4 separate regions of the Mus musculus genome follow, and all the other regions are reported to be linked to region 1. The links are microRNA targets in miRTarBase. Many come from high-throughput screens and were not tested one by one. Region 1 holds a microRNA gene; each other region holds the end of a gene's coding sequence.
What was found. Region 1 holds the annotated microRNA mmu-miR-9-5p (UCUUUGGUUAUCUAGCUGUAUGA, at 2,636-2,658, opposite strand). A microRNA usually pairs through its seed, bases 2 to 8, with sites in the 3' UTR of a target mRNA and lowers its output. Matches are read on the target gene's strand: a 7mer-m8 pairs with bases 2 to 8, a 7mer-A1 pairs with bases 2 to 7 and ends in A, and an 8mer does both.

Region 2: miRTarBase lists Spred3 as a target of mmu-miR-9-5p. Seed matches in the 3' UTR shown: 7mer-A1 at 3,318-3,324.
Region 3: the mRNA of Celsr2 is a reported target of mmu-miR-9-5p. Seed matches in the 3' UTR shown: 7mer-A1 at 1,270-1,276.
Region 4: the mRNA of Cdan1 is a reported target of mmu-miR-9-5p. Seed matches in the 3' UTR shown: 7mer-A1 at 1,947-1,953.

The regions. Positions count from the first base shown.
Region 1 is chr13:83,734,362-83,741,478 of GRCm38, reverse strand. It overlaps Mir9-2 (microRNA 9-2), which reads right to left and starts at 2,665; the gene lies at 2,594-2,665. It overlaps C130071C03Rik (RIKEN cDNA C130071C03 gene), which reads right to left. Exons shown (of 4, transcript NR_152245.1): 3 at 6,773-6,818; 4 at 171-3,309. It overlaps Gm51268 (predicted gene, 51268), which reads left to right and starts at 2,603; the gene lies at 2,603-2,658.
Region 2 is chr7:29,155,577-29,162,693 of GRCm38, forward strand. Spred3 (sprouty-related EVH1 domain containing 3) reads right to left here. Exons shown (of 6, transcript NM_182927.3): 6 at 3,253-6,618. The coding sequence ends at 5,950. Fam98c (family with sequence similarity 98, member C) reads right to left here and starts at 634. Exons shown (of 8, transcript NM_001146023.1): 1 at 554-634; 2 at 309-454; 3 at 99-233. The coding sequence starts at 594.
Region 3 is chr3:108,386,423-108,393,539 of GRCm38, reverse strand. Celsr2 (cadherin, EGF LAG seven-pass G-type receptor 2) reads left to right here. Exons shown (of 34, transcript NM_017392.4): 32 at 30-200; 33 at 295-529; 34 at 882-2,692. The coding sequence ends at 909. It overlaps Psrc1 (proline/serine-rich coiled-coil 1), which reads right to left. Exons shown (of 8, transcript NM_019976.3): 6 at 6,804-7,040; 7 at 6,145-6,262; 8 at 5,309-5,941. The coding sequence ends at 5,938. Among named protein-coding and RNA genes, the nearest start is that of Psrc1, 6.1 kb to the right of the region's middle.
Region 4 is chr2:120,712,361-120,719,477 of GRCm38, reverse strand. Cdan1 (congenital dyserythropoietic anemia, type I (human)) reads left to right here. Exons shown (of 28, transcript NM_026891.2): 27 at 230-337; 28 at 551-3,324. The coding sequence ends at 676. Stard9 (START domain containing 9) reads right to left here. Exons shown (of 33, transcript NM_001370940.1): 27 at 6,736-6,853; 28 at 6,507-6,628; 29 at 6,239-6,303; 30 at 5,911-6,113; 31 at 5,652-5,731; 32 at 5,315-5,473; 33 at 3,597-4,913. The coding sequence ends at 4,812. Among named protein-coding and RNA genes, the nearest start is that of Cdan1, 16 kb to the left of the region's middle.

The DNA.
Region 1 (7,117 bases):
GTCACTGTAGAGATTATCTTGGACACCATTAGACTCATGCTTAGATATGGTACCTCCTTCAACACACACAAATAAAACAAAATGTCAGAAGTTTGATGTGTAATAGAAAAAAAGAAAATCTGGGACATGTTGCAGCAGGAGCAGTGGGACAGCAAAAAGTAAAATGAAAATAACATTGAAATGTATTTTTATTGATCGATAAGTTATGTAACATTAGTATGATACAAAGCAAGTTGGATATGACAATGGCAAACACATAATTTTAATATTGTTTATTTTCCTTAGATGTTATAGTTAACATATTTACATAAACGACCCAAGATGTAGGCAAAAACTTCAGTAATGTGACTCCATTGAGAGCTTTGAGTAAACAATAGGTTTCCCCAGCAAACATCTTATTGCCTTAATTGAACCTCCTTGAGAAAGAAAAGCACACACTTTGTAATGTAAATGTTAATTGTAGTAGACAATGGTTCTAGGTAAATAGCACCCCTGGACATGAAGCAAATGAAAGGAATACAGGCACTTAACAATGAAAGCTTGTTTGCACAAACAGTGCTTCCAAGGTAAATAAGCAAGGGTCTTCTCGACTGCCTCTACAGCAGTCAAACTTTGGCACGTGTACAGCGGCCAAACTGAGAAGTTGTGTTATTAAAGTCTCTTGGCTTTTCTAAATGAAACTACCAGTGGCTTTACAGGTTTCTCTGGTGTCAATCTTACAAGAAGTTGAAGCTATAAAGAAAAATGTACTGTCCCTGAAGAAAACTTATGCATTTGGGAGTGTCAGTAATTTAGGCCATATGAAAGAAAAGAAGCAATTTTGGAATTTTTTTTCTCATTGCAATGCTTGTATTTATGTGCAAATGCCTATACAAATGTTTGCCTGATAAAATGTAACAGGATGCAAGGAACTTCAAAAAAGGACTACAGTGGTTTCTCCAAAGCCTCAAAGTTTATGCTGGGACTAGTGACTTTTAGATGAAGAGGGAAGAGGAGGAAGAAAAGGAAGAGGAGGGGGAAAAGGGAAAAAAAAAGCTCATCCGCTAGGACAATTCTAAAACAAAACAAGTTCTCTAACATATTGTGATTGTAATCAACTTTCTACAGACTGATGACTTTATAGCTTTATTTCCAGAATGTAGATTAGCATAAGTAGGCCAAGTTCCTGTGTGTCACACAAGGAAGTAAACAACCCGATGAAGTAAGTCATAATAATGAATGCTATGAGACATGACTTTAAAATATAACACAGCCAAAACAAAAGCCAAAGGTGGTCACAAGGCCCTAACCACATACTGAGGACTTCTCTGAGAAGGGCATGCAGTTCTGGGGCACTCTTGGCACCCTTTCCACTTGTTTTCCTTAAATGGTGAAAATTTCAACCAAAGGAGAAATCCAAATTTAATCATGGCCAGATTAAACAGAGGTTTAAAAATGAACAGAGACAGTACATAGCAGCTACCAACCAGTTGGTGTTGCCATTTGGGAGGCTGCAGATGGCTGTGGGTGGGAAATGCCTTTACTTTCTTAAGCGATGGAGATGAGTATGGTGTGTGTGTGCTTGATGTTTTTTTCATACCCCTACCCCCCAACAGGGCTGTCTGTCATAGGCTGCCGGCCAGGCTTTACCACTTGCCCCCGAGCGTGGGAATCGGAGCGTCCTGCCGTTCACATCTCCTGCTTTCCGTTTAGCGGAATCAATTAGGCAAGACAGACCCTCAGATTCCCCACCCCCTTTCCATTTTTGTCAGGTCTATATACGTCCTAATTATTTCAGTTTGGGATGCCAGAGCTGTTTCCTGGATAGACCTGATCATCCTTAAACAAAAAGAGAGGAGGCGCACACGTGGGTTGTGGCGTAAATGTCACTTTCATTTCCAATGCTAGGCGCAGAGTAAGACAGAACATTTTTTTAACACTTTGACAAGAGGGGAGGCGATCTCGTCTCCATCATGTCTTTCTGCTTCAGTAGCTTCCTCAAGGAAACCCTCTTGGAACAGAGAAGCATCTGTCCTTGTATTTTGAATAGAAGAATAAAAATCAGCCTTTGCCCCCACCCCTTTTCCCTGCTAGCTCTAAGTCTTCGGTAGATATAAATTATTAACCTTCCAGTATAAGCTTTACTGAAAGTCTAACTTCACAGAATTTGATGTACACACCCAAATACATAGAAAGTTTCCAGGCACAAGCTTCAAACTTGGGGGAGGGGCCTCAGATAGGAACAGCCCAAATCTACATAATTATGAAATCATTTTTAAGCGAGGTACCAGACATCACTATAACAGCTTTCTAAGAAAAAAAAAGAAAAAAAAAACCTCATATGTAAACGTTTGCTTCAAAATGAACAATATAGAAAATACATGCATCGTCACCCGTAAAAAACACTACACAATTCTCCTCTCCAGTTGTACAAGCCCCTCAAAGCCTGGCCCCTTTAGATTTCAATATGCGTGTCACTTAATTTTCTTGCATCCCACTTTCAATCATAAGATAAAAAAAGTTAGATTCAATAAGCATTCCTGACCTTTCTGGTTTTTACTGTCTCTTGGTTGCAGTCTTTCTTTCCGGAACGTTCCTCGGTGACCTTGAAGGAGTTTTTACTTTCGGTTATCTAGCTTTATGAAGACCAATACACTCATACAGCTAGATAACCAAAGATAACAACTCGCTTCCCTCACAAGGCTGCCTTCCTCTGGCTGAACTCCAGATCTCGATCCTCTTTGGCTTTAGGGAAGCGTAGTCCTCCGGGGTACTTGCCGCGTTTAAGCTTCTCCTTTCATGTAAACATGACCTGGTTTCTGTCTTAGTGTGTGCGGCTAGAACATCCAAATGAGATCTGTTGCATTCAGAGTTTATTCCAAACTTTTCCCCTTCCAGCAAGTAATCTCCAGTATCGTTAGCCAACAATTCATCTATGAGTATCAGAAATTAAGACCAGAGACTAAGGTGCAGCAAGCTGTTGGGGGTGAGCAGCAGTGTCCTTCTCTTCACAGGCCTCTATTTGCATTGTAAATTGCTTCATTCTCACGGAAGATTCTTTAGCCTTCCTCTACTGAGATGTATAAAGCCATCGGCAGTTTCCAACGCTGGTTAAAGAGGAAGAAGGGGGAAATCCCATTCTATAGAAGTGACAGCTGATTCAAAGATCTGCTCCGGATCATTGGGTTAGGCATCATGATCTTTTTTACCAAGTGCAGGCAGCTTGATTGCACATATCTTGTATGTGAATGTTTTAAGGGAGATCCTCGATTTCTTAGGACTTCTAGGCGGGCAGAGCATGCCCTCTTGCTGGCGTACTGCTGCCCCGGTCTGAAAGAAGGAGAAAAGGGCCATCATTGGAGGGGCTTTCACCGCCAAATTGTGGACCAGCCCGGCAAGGTCAAAGGTTTGAGACTGCGGGAGACCAAGGTAATGATGATGTCATGAGAAATCTCAAGTACATGGTTATTGATATGCATCAGTGGTCACCCAACTGCCCCACGCCTGCTGCCAGGAGTAGCACAGGCGACGGCGGCGGCGACGGCGGCAGCGGTGGCGGCGACGGCAGCAGCAGCTTTGCAGCAGTCCCTATATTCTCAATCAACATTTCATCCACTAGCACTACGGACTGCTCCTTGAAAAGCAACCCGCGGCCTTTTACCTCCTTGGCGCTAGTGTAGATCGCTCTAATATCCAAAGAATGGAGAAAATCTCTCTCTAAGGATAGATAAAAGCATTTCAGGTCTGGGGAACTTCTTTGCCTGCATTTCTCTTCTGGCAGATTGCATAGGCAGGCAGATGGAAGGCACTTTACTATTGCTTAAAGCAGGGCCTCGCTTTCTGGGGCTGGGAATCAGCTCTGTTTTTACGCAGTGAGTCGATGGTTACAATGACAATTTGCTTTGGTGTTATGTTTTTAATGGCTTTACAGCTCAGTCATGTTTTCTATCTGTGTACCGTGGCGATAGGGCAGCATATTTGTTCTGTAAGTTCGAACTGCACGATCTAAACAGTGGGGCTTCTTTTTTAAAAATGCTTTGCATATAGAGTGTGTGTGGGGGTTAGCATGCTGCACAGGTAAACATTGCAGCAATAGTTTCAATGTTGTACACAACTCTGCTGTAGCAAAAATGCTGAGCCTTTGTCTACTGTTTTAACATAAATTTCACACTGGACAATAATGCACTAGACTTGCTTATAAAATTAAAATAAAAGTCTTGTCTCCTGAACATGTAGATCCAACACCTGGATGGGGAGGGAGGGAAGCTACCACACCTCCCTGGCCCCACCCACTCATATCCTTCTATCGAGAAGCAGAAGGTCATTTCATTAATTAATTAGCTTCATTCATTGTCTTAGGAGTTTTTAAAGTGTGACTTTAAAATCACTTCAAAGAATCCTTTTCTTTCTCATCCTTTATAATAGATAATCTGTCTAGCACATCTAATATCTAACATTCAAATCCCTCTCAACAAAATATTCATGGTAATCTACATAAGAAGCATGTTCTCTGTGGGTAAACATTATGGATTATTGTTCAAATTACTAATTATTTTTTAGTAATGTTGCTTTTCTTTAAGTTACATGCTAAAGGAGAATTAGTAATTCTAAATGTACATTGCACACATCACCTGTGCCTCACAATGCTCTCAATTCCATAATGTGTCTATTTTCCCCAGTGGCTAAAATACTTTTGGATTTATTAATTTTTTTGGAATAAAATTTTTCTCAGTAATTCACTAATTTATTCATTTAACACATAAATAAGAACCTGGTTATTTAATCACATACAGAGCCCTAAAATCTAAACTCTGTAAAGAAGAGACTGACAAGTTTTTTTTGTTTGTTTGTTTGGTTTGTGTTTTAATGATAGGAAACATCTCCAATGAAGAGTTTAAACATATCACACCAATTAAGATATGGCTTACAGCTTAGTAACAGAGATGCCAATTTGTCCTTATATTAATTTGTTTACTTTTATGGTAAGCATTCTGTAACTGGCTATTGAGAAAAGACTAAGATGTGGAAAGAGTTCGTCTATATTTCTCTTCAAATTATGAACGAGAAGTCAGAAATAAAATACACACGGACACTACAATCCAATCCTAAAGGCATGTTCATAGAGTTTTTGTTCATTCCTAAACCATATGGTCACAGCATAAACAACTCAGTGAAGCGCATGCCACTTCTGACATCATGTAAAAATCCTAATGAGCTTTGCAGCTTGGAAGATTAAAGAGCACCGTGGCCTTGCTTTCCAAGAACTAGCAGCAGAGTAATTAATGATTTGGCTTGTATTACATAAAATAAGCACGTGATCAGATATAGTCAACTGTGTAAGCCAAAGCCCAAGAAATCAAAAATGGTCTTATAGAATCTCTTTTCTTCACATGTATCTAGGTGTGCTAGCTACATATATATATCTATGTGTTGGGAGGGTGTTATTTATTCACATATTTTCTGAATTTGAAAGTTATTATGACTCTATTCCCATACCTAACAATAAAATGTGTTTTTAGAAACAATATCTACAATGAGTTAACACACTGCATATCTGAACGCTTCTCCCACTAGAATCTGAATAAGATGCTGTAATAAATACCACATTCTTAGGGCAACACTAGTCATGCCAACTTACTACAAGGCCGGTCTCCACGCTTGGTATTCATCATGGGAACTCCAATGAGTGAAATGAGCCAAGATCAGGATTATGGGTAGTCTGTTCATTAGCAATGTAGTCAATTAAATATTTTAACTCTCTATCAACCTCACAGGCACACAGAAGAAATTAAATATACTAAGATTTAACATCGAGTGCCCCCTTATTTATAAGATTGCCAAGGTTTATAAAATGGTTTATTGTATGTATTATATATACCCCACAATACGTTACAATTACATATCTTCAAAGACTCCTAGCGATGTCACCTGTGAAGAGCAGCTCTTAGCAACTACACTTTAAACTTAATTTTTTTTTTGCTTTTAAAAGATTATCTAGCTGAGCTACAGAATATCTACTTGAAAATCAGCATAGAGAAGGATATACTGAATTCAAGCAGCCTGAATTCAAGCACTAAATTCTCACTACTATCTAGTAGATTAGAGTATGGTTGTTGTGCTTGCTTGCAGATAGTTTGTAGGTCTCCAAATTGCTGAAACATGACTTGAAACATCCTAGTTTATTTGGGGATAAAACAATCTCTCCTGATTTACAGTAAAAAGTTATGGTTTTCCTCATATTTGGGCCAGAAATATGCTATTTAATTAATTCATATACACTTGGTTTATGATCAATATTTGGAACGTCTTTGAATCCTATACACATGAATGCAGAATGCATAAGGAACTGGCCCAACACCAAATCATTTTAAATATTTCATTTATAAGAATTACAAATGTGCAAATTGTAGTCTACAGTCAATACTACTATTGTCTTATTTTTTAAGCCATTTTATTTACATTAGTGTCCATGGTCCAAGTGATGAAGTGAACTGGCTTTCATTATAATAAAAGTATCTTACCCTTTCCTCTAAATAGGAGCTTCTTTCTTATAGGCTATTGCAGGTTTTATTTATGTCATGCTCTATGCATATACATATATGTGTGTATTACATCCATACAAAGGCTCCTACAGGAGAAATAACTGTACACAGAGGAACTTAGATGTTTCTGGAATTCTATCTGTTGCAAGAGAAGATGTGTGAGAGATTGTAGACCTGTTTTCCAGTAAACAATATTCTATTTTCGTTTTGTACATCAGTCAGGTTTTATCAAATAAAAAAATGTAAATTACCTTTGTTTGAATAGTCTGTTCATTTTATGCTTCTTTGAAGTGTCATCTGAAAAACAGACAATAAAACAAATGATCACAGTATATATATATATGTATATATATATATCATTATATAGGAATATGACTTAATTTAAAGGGTCACTATTACTGTGTTTTTTTTTTTTTAATGCCAATAGATTATATAAAACACCAGTACTGTCTATCTTGGGCCTTAGCACCTACAGGGTTAAATATGCTAATTTGCATTTAAATGGAGACATGCATGATAATGGGAATGCAAAATATGCAGGATCTAGAGGGGTTTGGGAAATTAATTTTTCTTTCTCCTTTTATTTTTAGCTTGGA
Region 2 (7,117 bases), not on the chromosome of region 1:
TTGGCCACACCCACGGGAGTCCAGTCTGAGCGTCAGAGCCCGCCCCATTCAGAGGCCCCGCCCACCGCCACCACCCTGGGCCTTCCAAGCTCGCTCACGCAGCAGACGCAGGCCGCCGCCGGGCTCCCGCAGCACGGTGGCGCAGTCTCCGCCGCAGAGCGCGCGATCCGGGCAGTGCAACGCCCGCAGCCAGCCGGCCAACTGCCGCAGGAACTCTTCCTCTGTGTCCGGGCCTGCGGGAGGAAGAAGCCATCAGGAAGCAGCGGGTTCCGCGGCTCTACCCGCCGTCCACCCAGCTTCTCACGCACCGTGGCCGGCGCCCAGCACTGCGGTGCCCTCCTCTCGCCGCTCCAGAGCTCCCAGAGCCGTCAGCTCGGCCGCCAGCCGCGCGCACAGCGCCCTGAAGTCTGCACACGCGGGACCCCGAGACGCCCCCTCCGGGAGGGCATCGTACCTGCGGCGGGGCACGCGTCAGTGCGAGTCCCTCTGCGTCCGCGTCCCCAGGCGAGTGCGCCCTTCCCGTACCCCCAGGCCACACCACCGAATCTTTTACCCCAGTGTCAGAAGGTCACCCGCTACCATGGCCCCATCCATGGCAACTCCGTCTGCGGACCCGGTGCGCGCGCCCCCTTCCGCCAGGGAAAGGCTCCGCCCCCTCTTCCCTCCGCCTCCTCTCTCCCGCTGCTATCCAACCATATTCTCGTGCGAAGGCGCTTCCACGCTCCTATTGGCTTGGTCGCGCGCCACGCGCACCCTTCAGGTAACTTGTCCAGTGTAAATTTTATAGCTTGAGGTTTGGATCTACGAGGTCGCAGGAGGCTCGGGTGTCCCTACTGTCCGACTCTCAAGAAAAAAAAAAAAAAAAAAAAGCAAAAAGCAACTTATTTAACTTTTATACTTTTGGAGGCAGGGTCTCGATTTATACATTTATGTAGCTCAGGCTGGCTTCTTAGTCCTGCTTCCTCCTTCTGTTTGCTGGTTGACAGGCGTGTGACACGCCCAGCTGCCCTTTGTTCTTAGTGCACCCCAGACCGAAAGTCCCATCCGACTTGTTTTTCTTCCACTTTAGGATTAGATTTTCAGCACGTCTTCACATCCACTCTCCCACCTCAGCCAGACCCTCCTTCCACCTCACAGTGGGTCCAGTGTTAGCCAGACTCTCTGCCTCTGTAGGCCTTCGAAAGAAAAAGCAGATGCCATTGAGAAACTCCATCCTAAGGGGGAGGCAAGCCGATGGGACTGGGGTTGACTCCATTTGCCAGCTAATGTTTCTGCCAAACTGGTTTTTTCCATCTATGCGATTGGGATCCAAGGGCAATAAAGTATATGTTTTATGTGCCTGAATGTCGTGTGTGTGTATGTGTGTGTGTGTGTGTGTGTGTGTGTGTGTGCGTGTGCATGTGTGTGCGCGTACCTTGTGCCCACAGAAGTCAGAAGGCTTACAATCTCCTGCAACTGGACTTCCAGGACTTCCAGGTGGTCGTGAAGTCTTGTGTGGGTGCTGGGAACCAAACCCAAGTCTTCTGCTAGAACAAGTGCTCCTAACCACTGAGCCATCTCTCCAGCCATTAATATATTAAATGGAATCTGGCCTCACTAAGACCCTCCTATCTTAGCCCCCCAAGATCTGGGACTATAGGTTTGTGTCACACCCAATGTTTCAAGCACTCATTTTTTTTTTTTTTTAAGATTTATTTATTGTTATATGTAAGTACACTGTAGCTGTCTTCAGACGTACCAGAAGAGGGCATCAGATCTCATTACGGATGGTTGTGAGCCACCATGTGGTTGCTGGGATTTGAACTGAGGACCTTCAGAAGAGCAGTTGGTGCTCTTACCCACTGAGCCATCTCGACAGCCCCCTCAAGCACTCATTCTTAAAAGTGTGAGGATTATGGTCCATATGTTAAGGTGCATCCTTAGTTAATAACAAGTAAAGCCGGGCGTAGTGGCGCACGAATTTGATCCCAGCACTCAGGAGGCAGAGGCAGGCGGATTTCTGAGTTCGAGGCCAGCCTGATGTACAGAGTGAGTTCCAGGACAGCCAGGGCTACACAGAGAAACCCTGTCCAAAAACAAAAATCCAAGAAGTCGGGGAACTGGACTTGCTGCTCTCTCAAAAGCTGGCTCCCAGCACTGACCTCTGGGGGTTCGTAAGCACCCGAGGATCCACCATGCTCTTTGGCCTCTTTGGGCATCCCTGCAAACACACATGTACATAAATACAAAATAATGTTTCAAAACCAGATCTGGTGACTTAGACATGTGTCCTCATAGGAAGATCACCACAAGTTCCATGTATGTGGCCCACAAGCACCAGAAACTCCAGGTCACATGCATGGAGCCACATATAATTTTAAAATATTAAAAACAAAACAAAATCCTTGGGCTAATAACCTTTACTCCTTCTTTGGTGTTGGGCCTTACCTCAAGCTCTTGCCCATGCTAAGCATGTGTTCCACCACTGAGCAACATTTTCAGCCTTCTGTCAAACTCCATGTGTAAACCTAGGAGCTCTGGTTGGAGAGAGAGCTAAGCAAGAGAGTACTTACGGAGCATCTGGGTTTCGGTTCCCAGCAACCACATGGCTCAGTTCTAGGGAGCCCGATACCAAGGAGCCAGGTGGTGCATACACATACCTATGGGCAAGCGAGCACATTTCTTTTCAATTATGGAGTCTTTCCAAACATCCATTAACCTCCCTCTTCCCTCTCACAGACACTACCTGCAGCTCCACAGGGACGACCCCAGGAGTCTTCCTCACACAGCGATAGCCTTTGAAAATGCAAATCAATACTTGGGAGCCTTCTTATGGTCCCATCTCACTCATTGGGGTAACAAAGTGTCACTCAAAGCCTCTCCACCCTCCCCTCCCAGGATCCACCTTGCTTAACTCCATTCCATTGGGGTAACAAAATGTCACTCAAAGCCTCTCCACCCTCCTCTCCCAGGATCCACCTTGCTTAAATCCATTCCCAACTTACCAGCCCAATTCCTACTTTAATGGCTAGTGCTGGTTGGCCCCTGCGCACACCCACTGAACCCCCTCCCCTCCCGTTGTTCACTGTGTCGCTGCCAGTCACAATGGGGCTTGACACATTAGGGGCTTAGTAAATGTACTTGACTGGACATATAAACCAGCCAGATGACCAGCTCAGGACTGCAGAATGTAGAGGGACGAGAAGTAAAGACAAGCCCTTCGGGTAAACAAGGGGACAGGGCGCACCAACACGAATAAAGACCAGGCGGAGACACAGTCACAGACATTTCTTGGAGCAGATCTCAAGTCCCCTCCCTCCCCCAATGACAAGGCTGGGTCTTTGGCCCCCATCCTCCCTCCACATCAGCCTGCCCTGACACTAACAAGGTTACAGACTGGCTTGGAATCAAGATCAGGAAGAGAAATGTTGGCGGACCTCCCCCAAGGTCTGGGGGGCAAGCAGCTGGAAAATTGGGCTCGGGAGCTCTAGGATCTGAGGTCTTCCTGGCTCCCAGGGTTCAGTCCTCCATGCACCCCAGATATGGGGGCAATGAAAGGTAATCATGGATCAGAGGTGGGTATCGACAAGGAACAGGGCAAGGGGACCTGGGAGAGGGGGTACTGGAGATGGGGGACTAGGGAACCTTCCCCAAGTCCCCACTGCTTAATCCGAAGATCTCACAGCACCATACAGCACTCTGGTCCCCCTCCCCACCCCTTCCCAAAACGAGGTAGGTTAAGAATGGAGCTTCCCCCGCTTACCATGGAAGGGGGGGAGACCGAGGCACAAAGAGAGGATGGGGACGCAGGCTGCCCCAGCCCCCAGTCCCTCTGCCCTCAGCTCTGGTGGGTCTGACAATTGATGAGAGCTGGGCAGAAGGGGGATGGGAGGGACACCCTCTTTCCCCATTTTCTCTCACCCATCCCAGGATCTGCTTGGGGGAGCTGAATCACAGGTTCCGGATACAATAAATAGTTAATAATTTAAAGGAAGTGACACAAATATTCATCCCTTGAACCCCCACAAGGCCACCCAAGTCTGGGTAATGAAAAATGATTCAAGTGTACATTCCCAGGTACTTAGGGCCAGATGTAGGTCCTAAGCCCATGAACCATCAAGACTTTGGCTCTGAAATCTTAGTTCTCCTATCCAGGACACCTGATCCTAGTGTCTCTACTTAGGGAAAAGAGGCTGTGGCTCCTCTCTTCTCCATGGGGAAGTACTACAAAACAATACTGAGCTTTTCAGAGCAACCCCCAACTGAGATGGAAGAGGTTCACAGGGGAGGGACCTGAATGTACTAGGGGTTATAGTGTGGGAAATCTGCAAGGTTGGGGTGGGGGTGGGTCTTCTGGGGATCAATTGCTGGCCCCGGAATTACAGGTGTGCAAAGGGTAGGCCTTCTGCGGTCTCTGCTTGATCCCTGTAGCTGCCTGCCTCTGCTGAGCTGACAGCACACAATCTTCCATAGCAAAGCCAGGCCCTAGAGAGGGGAAAGGGGAAACTGCTAGGTGATCCCGGATTCCAGGAATCTGAATTTACACTGGCTTAAGTACCCTGCCCTAGGATAAAGGGGGTGGGGGTGGGAGTCTGGGCATTGCTAGGGCATTTCAGTTTTATGGGCCTCTGGATGGCAGGACATGGGAGACGGGGAAATCAGGTAGTGAGGAAATGGGGGCTTCATTAGTCTACAAGTACTTTGAATTCAAGAACACCTGGAGCCTAACGGTGCTGAAAGACTGTGGCATCTTGTTGCTGAATGTCTCTGGTCTGAAGGGATCAAGGTGTCAGGCCAAAACCAATCCCAAAATTGTGAGGGCTTGACTCCTGCACCCAGGGTCCAATGGCATCTTGGGTCTTAGATCCAGGGCTCATAAAGCCCTTTGGATTTGCTCTCGGGCTGAGAGTCAAGGAATGAAGGACCTGGGTTACCATGACCACCGCATCTTCTAAGTTCCAGGCTTCCACCCAACGTGGTGGAAGGGGAGTGTAGGCAGAAGGAAGCCGATGTTTCCAGAATATTTTAAAATTCAGGCCTAAGGGAAACCGGAAGGTTAGCTAATCTCTACAAACCAGTGTGTTGGGCCCAAAGTGCAGGTGGCCTTCAGGCAGACATTTAAGGATACCAGGCATCTCAGAGCCCATCCACAAGACTCAAATTCTCATGGCTGGCTTAAGGAGTAGGTGTTTGGAGCCTGGCTCCCCCCCCCCCCCCCCAGCATCTTGGTATCTGATATCTGGACCTTGCTGAGCTCTGAAAAGAGCCTCCCAAGTAATTTTGGTCTGAAAATACCTCATATGTGAGGATATCTAAGGAGTTAATACATTTTAAATCTGGGGTGCTAGGGAATTTGCGGGTCACTTGCACATGAACTGATGGCAATGTCTGTGGACTCTCAGGAGCGGGTAGAGTTCAGGCCAGTATCTGGTGATTCCAAACCATCCTGGGGCTATAAGAGCATCTAAATGTGAAGATACCAGGTCTCAGGTGAAAATTCAGGGACCATTTTCTGGTGATTCTGGGTCCTCTGGTCTCAAGGTCTAAGTCATTTGATAATAGTGTCAAGTTTGAGTAACTCTTGACTAGTTTGGGGGCCGTAAGATGAGTGTTTACAATGTCAAGTATGACCTGAAGTCTGGGTTGGGCATTTAGACAGAGTCAGGGTCCAAGATGTGAGCTCCTGGGCCCCTTGAGATGCAATGTTTGAAAATATTCTAAGTCTTCTCAGTGGGGAAAAGGTATGGAGAATCCAGAATTCAGGACTTCGGGTGGGCAGACACCCTGATGAAGCAGGGCCTCGGTATCTCAGTCCTCAGTTTGGGGTCCAGGTACCAGATCTGGGATCTCTCAAATCCATTCAAGTTCCAGATATACCTAAGTTTGGGTTTTAGGTTCATATGCTGTTCAGGGTCCTGGACCTTCAATTTTTGGGTCTTCAGACCGATTTCCAAACCAGCTCAACAATCCTCACCGTGCAGCCTCCTCGTGGCGACCCCCACAGCCCGCACAGCCACAACGTGCTGCAACCCAGTGACAGGCGCGCAGGGGCGCATAACAACAGAGACAGGGCACTGCCAGAGACAGAGCAGCCAGAGCAGCCCAGCGCGCAGCAGGGCGTGGGTGGCCTGGCTCACAAGCACACGGGTCCGAGAAGTCACCCTCGGCGTCTGACAGGCAGTGGTACAGCAAGCTCTCGGCACACCACAAGCAGCTGAGCCGGCGCACTAGCAGGCGACCTGGGTCAGGGGCCTCTGCGCAGCGACCACCACGCCCATCTGCCCGGCGGCGGAAGAGTGCTCGGCAGTGCACACAGCGTGCAGCCTCCTCAGCCTCTGGGGAGGCTTTGGCTGGAGCAGGGGTGGGGCCTGGACCTGGGGGTGGACGAGCAGGGGGTGCTGGGGGTGCAGCCTCTGTGAGAGGGGCAGGGAGTGACACTGGAGGACCCAGGGCTGCACCCCGCAATGCACCAGTCTTGGCAAAGCGCACAACGCAGGTAGACAGGGCAAGAGGTGGAGGCGGTGGTCCAGATCGCCGGTAGTCCTCATAGCCGCGGCTGCCCCAGCCCTGGCTCCCTGCCCCAGCTAAAGACTCTGAAGGTTCAGGAATCCCAGTGAACGGTAGAAGCGGAGGGTAGCTCTGCAGAGCCAAGGGACAAGGAGGTCTGGTTAAGGACATTTGCAACTTACTCAATACCCATAAGCTACCCAGGTTCAGAAGACCCAAAATCCCAGAATGCAAACAGAAGGCATCAGTCAGAAGGGACTGTGTTCCTTTGAACTCTCTTGGGCTCGGGGTTCCTCATGCCCGCAGAAACAGAACAAGGTAGGCAGCAAACACACACCTTAAGGGCCTCATGGCTTAAGATTTCCCAGTTGGGTCACACTCAACCCCAAGTCCCTCCTTCAGGATAAAGTAAACAGTCTTAAGAAGTCCTTCCATAGTACCAGCATCTTCTAACACACTAGAAAACCTATCCACGTCATCCCACAAGTCCCTGCATAAACTAGGCAGCCCTCAAATCTCCCAGAAAGCTAGAGACACTTGGAAGTTCCTACCAGCTCTCGGGAGTCCATGAGTCTTTGTTCCCAACCCAGCGCCTCCAACACCTTCCCACTTGCTAGACAAGCACTCTATT
Region 3 (7,117 bases), not on the chromosome of region 1:
TGGGACTATTGGTTTCCTTTCTTTGACAGATGGGGGTCCGGGTTCTGGGAAGGTCCCTTGGCTGGGAGACTTTGGGACCACAACAAAGGAGAATAGTGGTAGTGGGCCCCTTGAAGAGCGGCCACGGGAGAATGGAGATGCCCTAACTCGGGAAGGGTCTCTGGGACCCCTTCCGGGCCCTTCTACCCAACCTCACAAAGGTGAGTGGAGTCTCTCCCATCAGCTCCACTCTCCCATTCTCTTGCCGGAGCTATTAGGACTTCCCATCTCATGATACCCACACCTTGTACCTAGGCATCCTCAAGAAGAAGTGTCTGCCCACCATCAGCGAAAAGAGCAGCCTCCTAAGGCTGCCCCTGGAGCAGGGCACAGGGTCTTCTCGGGGCTCCTCCATCAGTGAGGGCAGTCGGCACGGACCTCCTCCCCGCCCACCTCCGCGCCAGTCTCTGCAGGAACAGCTGAATGGGGTCATGCCTGTCGCCATGAGCATCAAGGCAGGCACGGTGGATGAGGACTCCTCTGGCTCTGAGTGAGTCGGGCGGGAGAGACGGGGGTGGGGTGGGGGGAACCTGCCTGAGGTCCTTGCTAACCCAAGCCACTGACCCACTGCTGCCTCTGAGCTTCACCGGGCTACTCTGCTTGGCAGTTGGGCTAAGCGGAGTCCAGCTCCCTTGTGCGCCCAGACAACATGGTGCTCTGTTGGGGGTACACCAGACCCCCTGGGCTTTATGCGCAATGCCTGTCCCCCGTCTTGCGAGAGGGTGGGGGCTGGGGCTGCTTTTCTGTTTCTTTTTCTGGTGGAAGCTGTTCACTGTCCCCTCTGTTGCTCCAGCTAACCCTCTGTCTGCCTTCTCTGCCACTCTCCTCTCCTGCCTCTCCAGATTTCTCTTCTTTAACTTCCTGCATTAACCCTGGGCCGGTGTTCCTTCGTCCCCTTCCCCCGCTGCGCTCATGCCCCAATCCTGTCTTCTGCTTTATCCTGCCCCTGCTCCCTACCGCCCACCTGCCTGCCTTCCGAAGCAGCAGCGACGAACCGTCCATCTGAGGAGCCTGGGCCTTGCACCCAGAAGGCCAACTAGTGCCAAGTCCCTCCCCCACCTCCCCCTCACTGCACTTTGGACCCTCGGGGGGGCCAACATCTCCAAGACAAAGTTTTTCAGAAAAAAAAAAAAGAGGAAAAAAGAATTTAAAAAAAGGATCTCCACTCTTCATGACTTCAGGGATTACTTTTGTTTTTATACGCCGGAAGTGGACTCCCCTTTCCCCTTCCCAAAGAGGACAGGACCACCCAGGACGTGTCCCAGCCTCTCTTCAGTTTCATCTCCTGTGCCTCTGGGAGGAGAGGGACTCTTAGGGGGCCTGCCCCTCATTTGCCATCACCAAAAGGAAAGGACAAAGCCACGTGCACCAGGGGCAGGAGCCCCTGCAAGGCTGCACCGGACAGACGGACAGACAGGCCTCAGTTGGTGAGGGGTCAGGACAAAAACAAACAAACAAAAAAAACAAAGGCACTTTCCACCCGCCAGTTCCACCTCTCCCAGGAACTGACAAGCCCTGTCCGGCCAGGGGCAGAAGGACTCATGGCCCCTGGACCCCCCAAATGCTGCATGAACCGTTTTTTAAGGGGAAGCCTGTTGCCCCCGTGATGGGGAAGGACTACCCCAGCCCCTCTCCTTTTCCTGGACTCTGGCCATGTGCTACAGCCCAGGTGTTTGCTCAGTTTGCTGACCCCAAAGTGCTTCATTTCTCCTGCCCACCCTTGCAGGTAGGGCCAGTCACTCTTCCATTGCTTCTTTGCTGTGTGGGCGGTCCCAGGAGGAAGGGTAAGCGCAGAGCTGGCATGGTGGCCCTGAGGGGCCCCCAGCACAGGTGCCAGGTCTGGGTTCTGCTGTCCACTCACCCCCTCCCCGCCAAATCAGACAAATGCCATTTTTTTTTGTCTGACCTGCTGTGGCCTCTGAGACATGTTCTATTTTTAACCCCTTCCTGGAATTGGCTCTCTTCTTCAAAGAACCAGGTCCTTGGTCCCCATTGTCCCCCTACTTGACCCCAGCTCCCTGCGAAGAGAGAGTTAATATATTTTTTATTTATTTGGGTTTTTTTTTTGTGTGTGTGTGTGTGTGTGTTGGGATGGGTTTGTGTCTGGTCCCCAGGGGGTCTCATGTGCCCATTGCAGGCTGGGTGAGTCCCTGGCAGCCCTGGATTTGGGGCCTACCATCCTTCCTCTCGCTCCATTTGCTCTCCTCGGGTTTTTGCAACCACCGTTCATTTGAGTCCCCCTCTCCTCTGAGCATGTATTCCAGACTTGTCACTGACTTCCCTTCTAGAGCAGGTGTAGAATAAAGGCTCGAGGAGGCAGGAAAGATGTCCCTGTCTCTCATTTGGAAGGCTGGCCGCTGGCTTTTCTGCCATGGATTCTCACCTGCCCTCTGCCCTCTTCCCCTCAGCAATTCCTGTAAAGGGTTAAAAATTTAACTGGATATATTTTTTTTTAACTACTGATGACTTGACTTAAAAAAAAATACAAAGATGCTGGATGCTAACTTGATACTAACCATCAGATTGTACAGTTTGATTGTCGCTGTAAATATGGTAGAGTTTTGTTTTTGTTTTTGTTTTTTTTTCCCCCCCCATACTACTGAATAAACTAGTTCTGTGCAGGAGCCATGTCATCGCTGGCTTCTGTAAAGCAGCCTGGGTTGAGGCCTGGATTGTGGGAAACAGGGTAGGTAGAACCTTGACGATCCTGAGGACAGAGAGACTAAAGCCGCAACAGCACAGAGCGCTGAGTCTGGCGGTTGGAAGGGAGAGAAGGAAGATAGGTGGATATTGTTTTCCCCTAGGATATAAGCTTGTACCGCTAGAGAGGCTGGGGAGACTGGGGAGGCTGGAGAGGCTAGAGAGGCTGGGGAGGCTGGAGAGGCTGGAGAGGCTGGGGAGGCTGGAGAGGCTGGAGAGGCTGGGGAGGCTGGAGAGGCTGGGGAGGATGGAGAGGCTGGGGAGGATGGAGAGGCTGGGGAGGATGGAGAGGCTGGGGAGGATGGAGAGGCTGGAGAGGCTGGGGAGGATGGAGAGGCTGGGGAGGATGGGGAGGCTGGAGAGGCTGGGGAGGCTGGGGAGAATGGAGAGGCTGGGGAGGATGGAGAGGCTGGGGAGGCTGGGGAGGATGGGGAGGATGGAGAGGATGGAGGGGGTGGAGAGGCTACACAAATCAGGCCGGTTCTCAGCCTGAGTCCCAGACAAACACGTTTTCTAAGGCAGAATTCGGTAGATAGGAAGAAGTGGAGTGGGAGTTTCTGGGGCTTTTTTCTTTTCTCTTTTCTTTCTTTTTCTTTTTCTTTTTCTTTTTCTTTTTTTTTTTTTTTTTTTTTTTTTTTTTTTTTTTTTTTTTTGGTAAGGGTTTCTCTGTATAGCCCTGGCTGGAACTCATTCAATAGATCAGGCTGGCCTCGAGCTCAGAGATCTGTCTGCCTCTGCCTCCCAAGTGCTGGGATTAAAGGTGTGTGCCACCACCACCTGGCTATTGTGGGCTGTCTGTCTGTCTGTCTGTTTTCTTGGGGGAATAAAGCATACACTCATTCTGGGAATAAGTATGTATTTGGTGACACTACTTCTAGTCCTAATTTTTGTTTTTGAAAGCTCCATCCAACAAATGAGGATATAATGAACCAACCCTGGAACCTCAAGCAGCAGCCTGATTTGTTTGCGCCTTGGTTCTCTGTCTACAAAATGAGGGCAGTGGTAACAGCAGCTGCCTAATTGAGCTTTTAGGAGGATTAAATAACTTAACACATGCAAAGTGCTTACAACTTTTCACAGTGCATAGCAAGAGGCCAATAAACACTGGCTTCTCCTGTTGTTGCTTGTGGAGTGGAAGAGGTGTGGAGGACGGAGAGAAAATTAGAAATCTAAGCCAGGGAGGAGGCGGCAAGCAGGTAGCTAAACAAGAAGGGCAGCTGTGGCAGGTAAGCACTACCACCAAGTGAGTTCGGCAGGTTTGGAGTCAGCGAGCCCTATTGGGTGGAGGCAGAAACTCAAGATTGACCCAGTGAGAGAAAATGCTTTGCCGGCTCCAGCCACCAGGTGGCAGCAACACAAGGGCTTGTGGCTGGCTTTGCTTCCCCACCCACAAGGGCTTGGTTCCAAAACCAAACAAAACCAACCAACCAAAACGGAACAAACCTGCCACCTACTGGCCATGCCGAGGTGTGTGTTCTTAGGCTTGGCTGCTACTGCAGACGCCAGTTAGAAGTTGCCAGCAACTTCTGTTTCCTGAGCTCTGTGCAGACTTATTCACTGGGATGGAGGCCCAGGACAAGCAAGCCTGGAAGACCCCAGGAGATCAAGGGGACTCAGCTACTGGCTGGTTGGTAAGCTTGACCTCACTATAGCCCACCCAGAAGACCTCCCCCTGAGCCAGGCTGTTTGAGGGGAGATAGGCTGGAATCTGGGAAACACACCTGAGACTTTCTTGCCTTGTACCGTATTTCTTCAAATCAGAACCCATGACATCTGTGTTATCTGCTCCCTCCCGCGTGTCAGCTCTGAGAATTTCAGTGGCTGTAGAGGCTGGAATGTAGAGGCAGCCACCACTGTGTATAGTCCCCGTGTATTTATAGGTGTTATTAAATTAATCTTACGGACAGCCATAAGGAAATGCTATGGAGGGCCCCTGGATGTGGGGATAGGGGAGGAGCGCTGAAGGCCTAAGAGCACTTTTGGACACAGTAGCGGGCCACCCTTTCTCCTTTATGCTCAGTTGCCTTTAGGGAAGTTTCTTCTTCATAAAGGACTGATTTAGTTCTGACTGCAGGAGTCAAAGGCTACAAATCGGATCCTAAGCTGGGCTTGTTAAAACCTTATTCTGTTTTCAGTGAGTACTCACTACCATGTGTCCATTCTGCAGTGTTCCACCAGACAAGCTATAACACAAGGGCACAGTCAGAGTTACTAAATTGTGATGCCAGCCCTCGGATCCAGCAGAGGAGCAGAGAGAGAGCACAGGCAACCCTAATGAAGTGAGGTAGAGGCAACCTCAGAAGCAACACCAACAAAGGGCCTCTATCCCCTAAGGGGTTCCATTGTCTTGTCAAATAATAGTTAAGTCTAAGGAGTAACAGTAGACTTAGTTCCTACCATAACAGCCTCAGGCGCTGTAGGTGAAACCTCAGTCAACTTTGATCTGGACTATCTGTAAACACTGAAAGGAGAAAGGAGACTTGATTGGAATTGACCGGCACCAAGGGACTAGTCACGGCTGCAGGAGCTGGAGGTTCAAATCCCTAGGGCCTATGTCTGAGAGCTCACTAGAATTACACAGACGTTTATTTTAAAACTGTTAAAATCTACTTTCAGATATACAGAAAAAAATTTTTTTAATTCATTTATTTAAGAAAAAATATGAAGATGTGAGTAAGCTTATAACTGATTGACCTGTGAGAAGTCAAAGAATTCATAGGAAACAAGTTCTGTACATCAGCTGTCCTCCTGGCCTTTCCAAACAGACCAGTATCCAGTCAGGAAGACATGTCATAGAGAACTGAGCCGGCGGGCTCCTAAGGCCGCTCATATGGGAATGGCCAGTGAACCGTGGTAGAAGATCAAGCTCTCTAGTCCTGACCACAAGATGGAAGGAGACAGATAGGTCACTCTGCCTGCATTTATTATTTTGTTTGTGAGTTTCTCCACGGGCAGATGACCTCTGCCCCTCTCTTCTTCTTTCAGGGCAGGGTAGGGTGGGGTTGAGTCCCCTCAAGCTCAAGGCACCCGATCCCCCATAGTCTCTACTTCAGAGGTCAGCCCTGGAGGCATCTCTTCCTCCCATCTCTGGGCACAGAGCTACTGGAGTTAGGGACCACTGGCAGAGGAGAGTCCAGACTTTGATGGCTAAGATGGTAGTGGCTTGCTATTGAGTCTTTGTTTGCTGACGTGCTCTTCTTACCTGAAAGAAGAGGGGGGGGGGGGTGCTTTAAAAAAACCTTCTTCCTCCGGAGCCTGTCTGGTACCCAGCCAAACTCACACCCCCTCAGGATGGGAGAGTAGCACCCCTCACCCCTCTCCTCCCCACTCAACACAGAATTCGAGGATGCTGTGTGCACCGCAGCTTGGAAGCCCAGGTGATGAGAACAGAGGGACCAGTTTTACCTAGTCGGTCCAGGGACTGCAGCTTTCCTGAGGGGCTGCGCCCTGCCTCGAGCGGCACTGGTGGTCCTGCCTCGAGCCGCACTGGTGGTTGGAAGGTTTGTTTTCTGGGAAACAGAGGCTTGATGGAAATTAACAAGAGATGAGTTAGAACGAAGCTCAGCTGACGTCATCAGAAAGACTGGATGAAGGTATGTGTTTCCTGACCAAGGTAAAACCATGAGCCACGTAGAAAGCAAGGCATTCCCTCCTTAACACTACGTGAAAGTAGTGTTAACAGCAGTTACAGCTGTAGTGGGGGAAGATCAAGCCGTGTCACTGCAGACATTCTTCTATCTAAGGTTCTCTGTTTTTGTTTTGTTTCTTTGGTTTTTGAGACAGGATCTCCCCATAATAGCTATGGTTGTCCTGGAACTCACTCTGTAGACCAGGCTGGTCTTGAACCCAGAAATCTGCCTGCCTCTGCCTCCCAAGTGCTGGGATCAAAGGCGTGCGCCACCACTGCCCGACTCTATTTTGTTTTTCTTTTTCTCCTGAGACATGGTTTTATATAGCTAAGGCTGGCCTTGAGCGTCTTATTCTCTGGTGTCTACCCTCTGAGTGCTGAGACTACAGAAATGTGCCACCATGCTAAGCCTGACCATTTGTCCACTCTATCTTACCTCTGTGCCCTATGGCGCTTGGATGCCCTTTCTGAGTTGAGAGAGAATCTGGAGCTAGGGCACCTTTTCCAGGTGGTAGACTCCGCCCAATGAGTGGCACTCGGGTGGCAGGCTTGGGGATGGCTGAAGGGACAGGGAGTCGACTGGAAGACTTGACAGCTGCTCCCTGGAGCCGGGATGAACATTGGGAGTTGCTAGCTGAGGACTGTGGAACTGGTCTGACAGGAATTGGTGGGCCTGTGGACAGGAGTGTAGTCGGGTCAGGGTGGAGCTCAGCTCCTCTCTTCCCCTCATCAGCCTCGCCCACATCTCTG
Region 4 (7,117 bases), not on the chromosome of region 1:
GGAACTCACTCTGTAGATCAGGCTGGCCTCAAACTCGAGATCTTCTTACCTCTGCCTCTGCCTCCTGAGTGTTGGAATTGCTCTTAACAGCATGTTAAGCTTTATCTCCAACCCCAGCTCCATCCTTTCAGATGTCTACTCTTGGGACTGCTATCCAGTCTTCAGTCTCTACTGTTAGGACTACTCAATGATCCTGACAACTTTTGACTTTCTCCGTGGTGTTTTACAGTGGGATCTGCTGTTGTTCTTACTCCGGGAGCTGGTAGAAAAGGATCTCATGGGACATCTGGAGATAGAAGCCTGCTTAGGCCGCCTTAATGAGGCCCAGTGGCCAGGGGTAAGGAGTCTTAATGTTAATTGCTTTGTCATACATTAATAAACCTTAGTTTACCAGTCATGGAGATTTGTATCTGCTTTTGCATAGAAGACATTAGATGAAACCGCTGGGTTATCAGTGTCTTCCTGGCTGTGAGTGCTTATTTAGGATTGACCTTGGAAAGGACAGAACATCCAGAATTACTTTTTCTCTTAACCTTTCTACTTACTTCAGGACTTCTCAGAAGAATTGTCAACACTGTTTCGCTTGTTCCTAGCTGAGCCCCATCTGCTAGAACCCCAGCTAAGAGCTTGTGAACTTATGCAACCAAACCGAGGGACAGTACTGGCCCAAAGCTAGGGCTAGGAAGCAGCCCTCTTGGGCATGTCACCAGAACCTGCCTCCTGTGCCTCAGGAGGAGCCTCAAGACCCCACTGCACGCCTTGTTGGGGCAAGAGTGTCCAGGTGTGTAACCGGGCTTGCTGCTCCTAAGTGAAGGAAGTGTGTTGCTTCAAGCATCCAGACACCGGCCCGCCTCAACACCTGAGATCTAGAGGAAGGAGAACCTGATTCAGAGTCACAGTGGAAAAGCCCAGAGACTCCGATCTTGGAACAGAAGGGCTGGCGTTTTTAATCCAGCTAAAAGAAATGCGTGTGCTGATCAATGTATTTCGAGCCTCAAGTTGCTATCCCAGCATCTCTTAAAACTGTGGTTCTGAGAAATCTTAATAGGCAAAGAACTTCTGCTTGTGAGAAAGTTGACAAACATGGATTTGGAAGTCTACCTTTTCTTGTGTCCAGAAGCTGGACTATCACCCTTATCCCCAAATATTGACAGCCAATAAGGTAGGACTCGCCTAAGTGAAACTTGGTCTTCTATGGACCGTCACCTCTTTGCAGGGAACTAGTCAGACCAAGCCTGATGTAGAAAATCTAAGGGGCTTGGGCTTTTTTAAAATAAAACTTTTAACAAGGTTGTGATGGCTGTTCTCCCTGCTTTCATCCCCTTTCTGAAAGTGGGCTTTGTGCACTGCAGTAAGCGAGCTGCTTTGCTTCTTCATGATGTTTGCGTCTGTCACGCTGAGAGCCAGTCTTAGAGACACAGTCTGCTATGAACTAGCATCATCCACTATCCATGTACTCCCTGCTGTCTATGCTGACCCACATGGCAGGTGGCTGTGGTGGTATTTGTATTGTAGGCCCTGGGATGTCTGATTTACCTCAGAACTTCCTTCTGACCAAAAGCAGCCTTCTGGGTTATAGTTAGCAAGACCTCATTTCTATAAATGAGGTGATTTTTAAATTTTTTATTATACTCAGTGTGACTGCACTCAAGTGCTATAGCACACTTCTGGAAGTTGAAGAACAACTTGTTGGGAGTCAGTTCTTTCACCATGTGGATCCCAGGGCTCAAATTCAGGTCATTTGGGCTTAGCCCTAAGCTATTTTGACAGCCCCTGTAACCAGCTGATTTTAAGGGTTTTTGTTTTCCTTTTCAAGACATGGTTTCTCTTTGTAGCTCTGGCTGTCCTAGAACTCACTCTGTAGACCAGGATTGCCTTAGACTCATAGAGATCTGCCTGCCTCTACCTCCCAAGTTCTGGGGTTAAAGGCATGTGCCACCATGTGCCCAAAGATAGTATTTTGATAATGTGCTTTATCCCTGACAACTGTTGTTTGTTTTGGAGGTAAGACTCAGACTTTAGTGGAAGTATCAGAGGTGCTCAATGGTAACTCGAAGTCAACTGCAAAATCTTAGGGGAAAACTTTGCAGCTGGCAAAAAGGGTTTTGACCTAAGTTAAGCTTCTCTAAACTTACACCCCAGTGCTACTAACCCTCTGGTGTGTGCCTCTTCTTCCTTAACTCCTTTTCCAAGTCTAGGATAGGGCCTCACACATGTTAATGGCAAACTGCTGGTTTCTGTCAGTACTGGTTATCAAACCTAGGTAGGGCCTCACATGTGAGGCAAGTGCTCCAAGCACAGTGGATAGTCATGGTTTTTCTCTTTCTTTGCCTAGAAGTATCAGAAAGCTGAGTCCTGGTAAAGGTGAGCAGCAGGCCAAAAGCCTGAAGCTCAGAAAACTGTTCTGACTGAAGGACTCAGCCATGAAGCGAGCCTGTCTTAAGGTGCACTTAGAACAGCTTGCTCCAACAACTGATTGTAAAGGCAGGCAGGTAACTCAAGTAGAGAACTAGTTATTCTCCATTCTGTACCAAGTACTCTTTTTTTTTTTTTTTTTTTTTTTAATAATATTTGTATTGTAGGGACTGGAATGGCTGATTGATTTACCTCAGAACTTCTTTCTTACCAAAAGCAGCCTCTGGGTAATAGTGGTATTTGTATTGTGTGTTTTGCGGACCACTGGCCTCGAGGCACCTGGGACTTTCTACAGAGCTCTCCATGCCTGGACAGGAACAGACCCAGCCTCGGTGATACCTATACTCTCTAGGATCAGTGCAGGCCCACAAATATGGAAATGCATGGTGGTCAACCATCTTAATATATAATGGCATAGTGTTATAACTACATTTATCCTTTTATACACATTCTTGGGTTTTCCTTTTTTCCCCTTCTGTATCCTTTAATATGTTATCCAGAAATGATTTAATTAATGTAACTATATGTAAATAATTATGACAAGAAACTTTGCTTGAATATCTTTTGATCTATGGTTAAATGTACAGATGTGGAAGATGAAGCTCTAGAGAGTTGACTGTGTGCTTCAGATTGCTGACTCGGGTCTCAGGAGGGGCCGTTCACCCTGTGCTGTCAGATTCCTACAGTAGCTGAGCTCATACACTAGCCGATGAATGTAGAATCTCAACCCTGAACTGTAAACACTGCCATTATCACCTTCAATGGCACATTCTATTTGTTTACTGTTTTTCGAGACAGGTTTCTCCGTGTTGCCCTGGCTACCTAGGAACTCACTGTGTAGACCTGGTTGGCCTCAAACTTAGAAATCTGCCTGCCTCTGCCTCCTGAGTGCCGATTAAATGTGTGTGTGCCCCACCACTACCTGGCTTTTTTATTTTTTACGAGTAATATTTTGACTTTTTTTTTTTTTTTTTTTTTTTGGCTAATAGTCTCAGTAAAGCACTTAATGAAAAGAGGTAGAAACTGGGCATGGTAGCTCCTGGCCTTAGTGTAGGACTTGGAAAGCTACAGAGTGAGATCCTGACTCAAAAAACACACAAAAAGGAAGGGGGCAGGGAGGAAATTGGTAGGCATATGTGTAACACTGCATTATCAAATATTGCCAAAAACTACCATAAAGATAAATCCAAAGCAAATTTTAAAACATTCAATTTGCAATAGAAAAGAATAGAAAATCTAAAGAAATTTACTCTTTAACCAGTCTTAAATCCTAAAAGAACCTTCTTCCATCAAAGATTTGGAGTGACAGGAAAAAAGGGAATTTCTTATCCCTACCATTTCTGAATCAACATGGAAAATCTTCAGAGTGTTCAACCAGGCCAAGATCCAAAACAAAAACAAAAAACAAACAAACAAAACAACAACAACAAAACAAAAAACCACCCTTTTTCTATCATATTAAAACAGTTAAGTAACAAAAATAACTATTGAGCATCTTTCAAAGTACTGAGCTTAAGACATTAAGACAGGGTCTAATGTGTCAGGCTGGCCATCTGTGGATGATCTTCTGGTCTTCCTGCTTCTACTACCAGAGCTATGTGCCACAACACCCTACTAATATACAAAGAAGTAGGTACTGGGTGTGGGAGGTCTATAATCCCAGCATTTGGGAACCTGAGGTATGTTAGTACAAGGTCAAGGCCTGTGCTAAACTTAATCCTCTCTAAGACTTGAAATCCCTCTTACCTTGTTTGCAAGCAGCATGTGGCTGTCCCTACCTATTGGTCTTCAGGCCCCACACCCTGTCTGTTTCTTCAGTTGTCTCCCACTGTACTGCCTACACAGTGACACACAGAGTGGGGAGAGTAATGTGAAGAGAAAATGTTTGTAAATGTTCAATGAGAGAGAATTCGGAGTCAGAATCTGGTTGGTACAGATAGATGACTCTTTAAACTATATGCTTTGGTCCTTTCTGCCACTCCATCACACAATGGAGCTAAATTTTGGAGGCAGATCCAGAGCACCCTTGGCCAGTGCCTGCCTGCAAAGGAGGCACCTTGCCAAAGCACTGTAGTCTCCAGCTCTCCAGACCGTGCTTCTTCTAGTCTTTGAACACGTGGTGTGCCATTGAGTCCCAGAGGCAGGAAATGACGGTGAGAAATCCTGAGGGTGAGTTGATTTCATGCTTTGGACAGGAGCTTCAGGTTGTTCACTCTTCAGAGGTAACTAAGTACTGGTTTTACTGGCAACCCTGGGCTGGTGCCATCTGTATAGTTGGCTATACCATCTGTATAGCAGGCAGCCTGGACTCTTCTTGCCTCAGGGTCTAGAAGCAGCTGTAGAGTCTCAGTTGTCCTGGGCCTACATCTCAGCATTGCTGTCTCCGTGGCCCAATGCTAACTACGAAGGAAAGATGCCAGCTTGGCCACAACCAATGGCTGCTGTTTGATACAGGAGTTGAGAAGATGGGGAGGGAAGCCTGGTGCACCCAGCTCCACCTGAAAGCAGAAGGAAGAACTGAAGATACAAACAAGCCTGGAGCAGCCTGAGCATTTAGATCTGAGTACTAGCTTTCCCCTCCCGGTGATGAAGTTGGAGTTGGCCTGAGAATGGAGAGCCATACAAGAAGGTAAGTGAGGATTCTGGTCTGCTGCTGCTTTCAGCTTCAATAGTCCATCTATTTCCTAAGGACACTGTGGCTCGCCACAGGATATAAGTCGGTCAATCTCTGGTGCTGGGAGCTTCACAAAGACTCAACTTGCTTATTCCTCCCTCTCTGATTCCCCTTACTATTAGCCCACTCTGACCAAATGGCATGACAACTGTGGATTCTTGGATTCTATGCAACTGGAGAGAAATATCCCAAGGTGTGCCATGAGACGATGTAGTGCTGTGTCACCTGGACAAGGGAGATGACTCTGGTTATTTCTTTCCCCTCTATGATGACAGGCTGCAGGACCCAAGCACTGGGCAGGATCTCTCCTCGGACCATTTTTCTGCTAGGTCTTGGCATGGATGCATCATACACAGACTGAGCTGCCATGATTGATAGGCACCCCTAGGGACAGAGATACATGTGAGTCCTGCCTGTGTAATGACAAAACACGGACAGGTTTGAGTATAGTTAGGGTGATCAGAGGTAATACCTTCAGCACTCAAGCCACCCCACTAATTGCACCTCACAGCACTTTAGCCTAAGTTCATCCCATAACATTTTACCACCCCAACATGGGCACCTCTTTGGCTTCCACGCAGACACAGCAGAAATCTCGCAGTTGCTTCAGCTCACACAGTGTGGTATTGCACACCAAGTACACTAGAAAGACAGACAGATTGAATCCTAGTTCTTCAGTGTTAAGAAGCCCCTGCTTTACTCCATAACTGGATCCCTAGTGGTCTTGCTGAGAAGTCTAGAGTTCCCAACAGTGCTGCTTTGACCTTCTACCTCTTGACTCCCTGCCAGGCCTTTGGAAGCTTTCAAGCCCTTAGACTCACCCAGGCTGATGCTGTTGGTCACCCGCTGATGTAGCCTTGCTGTCTGGATGGGCTTGTGATACAGAGGCCACAAAGTGGGATCACTCACAGCTGCCCAGACTTGAGAGAGTGGCTGGGACACCACACTTGCACCCAAGAACCCATGTCGAGTGGAAGAGAATTCCTTGTAGTAAAGCTGTACCTCTTGCTCCTCACCCTGATAGCTTGGGGACACCAGAGGCAAGAAACAGTCAGAAAAGAATTTGCTAGCATGGGGTGTGCCAGGGAGCCGAGCAGAGAGGAGGGGAATAATGCAGAAGGACCAAAGCATGGCGGCAAAATAACTTACTTCCAGCCATCTGTCGCCTGGCGGATGAAGAGGTTGTGGAGATTATCCGAACAAGCAGCCATTACCTGGGGGCAGAGGGTAGACGCGAGGCCTCTAGGTTCATCAGTATGGCTAACATTTACTAAATGCCCACTTGTCAAAGAGTTCCTGAAGCCTCAGTGCCTTGGTGGCCCTAATCTGCCCAACTCCTTTTGTCTCCCTCCCCAACCAATGTAAGTCCAGCTATAGCAACAGGAGGAGGGAGGAATGAATAGATCCAGAGACTCACATCAGCCATTGATGTGCTGACAATGTGTTTGGCCAAGTCCTGGTAGGGGAAGGAGAAGCAGGCCCCTAAGCTGGATAGGCTGGAGGCAGAGCAGCAGCCACTGCCCATCGAGGCTCTGCGGCCTACAACAGAGATGAAGGTTCTGCAATGACCTGAACGCCAGGGTGGTGGGACAGTGATACAGGGCCAGTAAATCCTGCAGACATCATTCCCTGAGCTTTATACTCACTGTGGGCTAAGCTCTTCCAAGAAGACCCAGTCAGATAGAGGTAACTGTTCCTCACTGTGGACTGGTCCTGCCAGTCCCCTATCCAAGTGTCTTGGGAATCTGGCACTTGAGAGTCCCCCTGCAGAACAGAGGATACTCAGAGCAGGACCCAGAATGCTTTCCACTATTCCAAATTGCAATTCCACTTCAGGATGTTGGATACTATGATGGTTTGAATAAGTATGGCCCCCAGCGCCTTCAAGCCTTTAGGCTCATCCAGGGTGATACTGCTGGTCACCATGGAGTGACAGTATTTGAAAGAATTAGGAGGTGTGGCCCTGTTGCAGGAAGTATGCCACTGGGGATGGGCTTGATGCCAGGTCCAGTGTTACTCTTTTCAGAT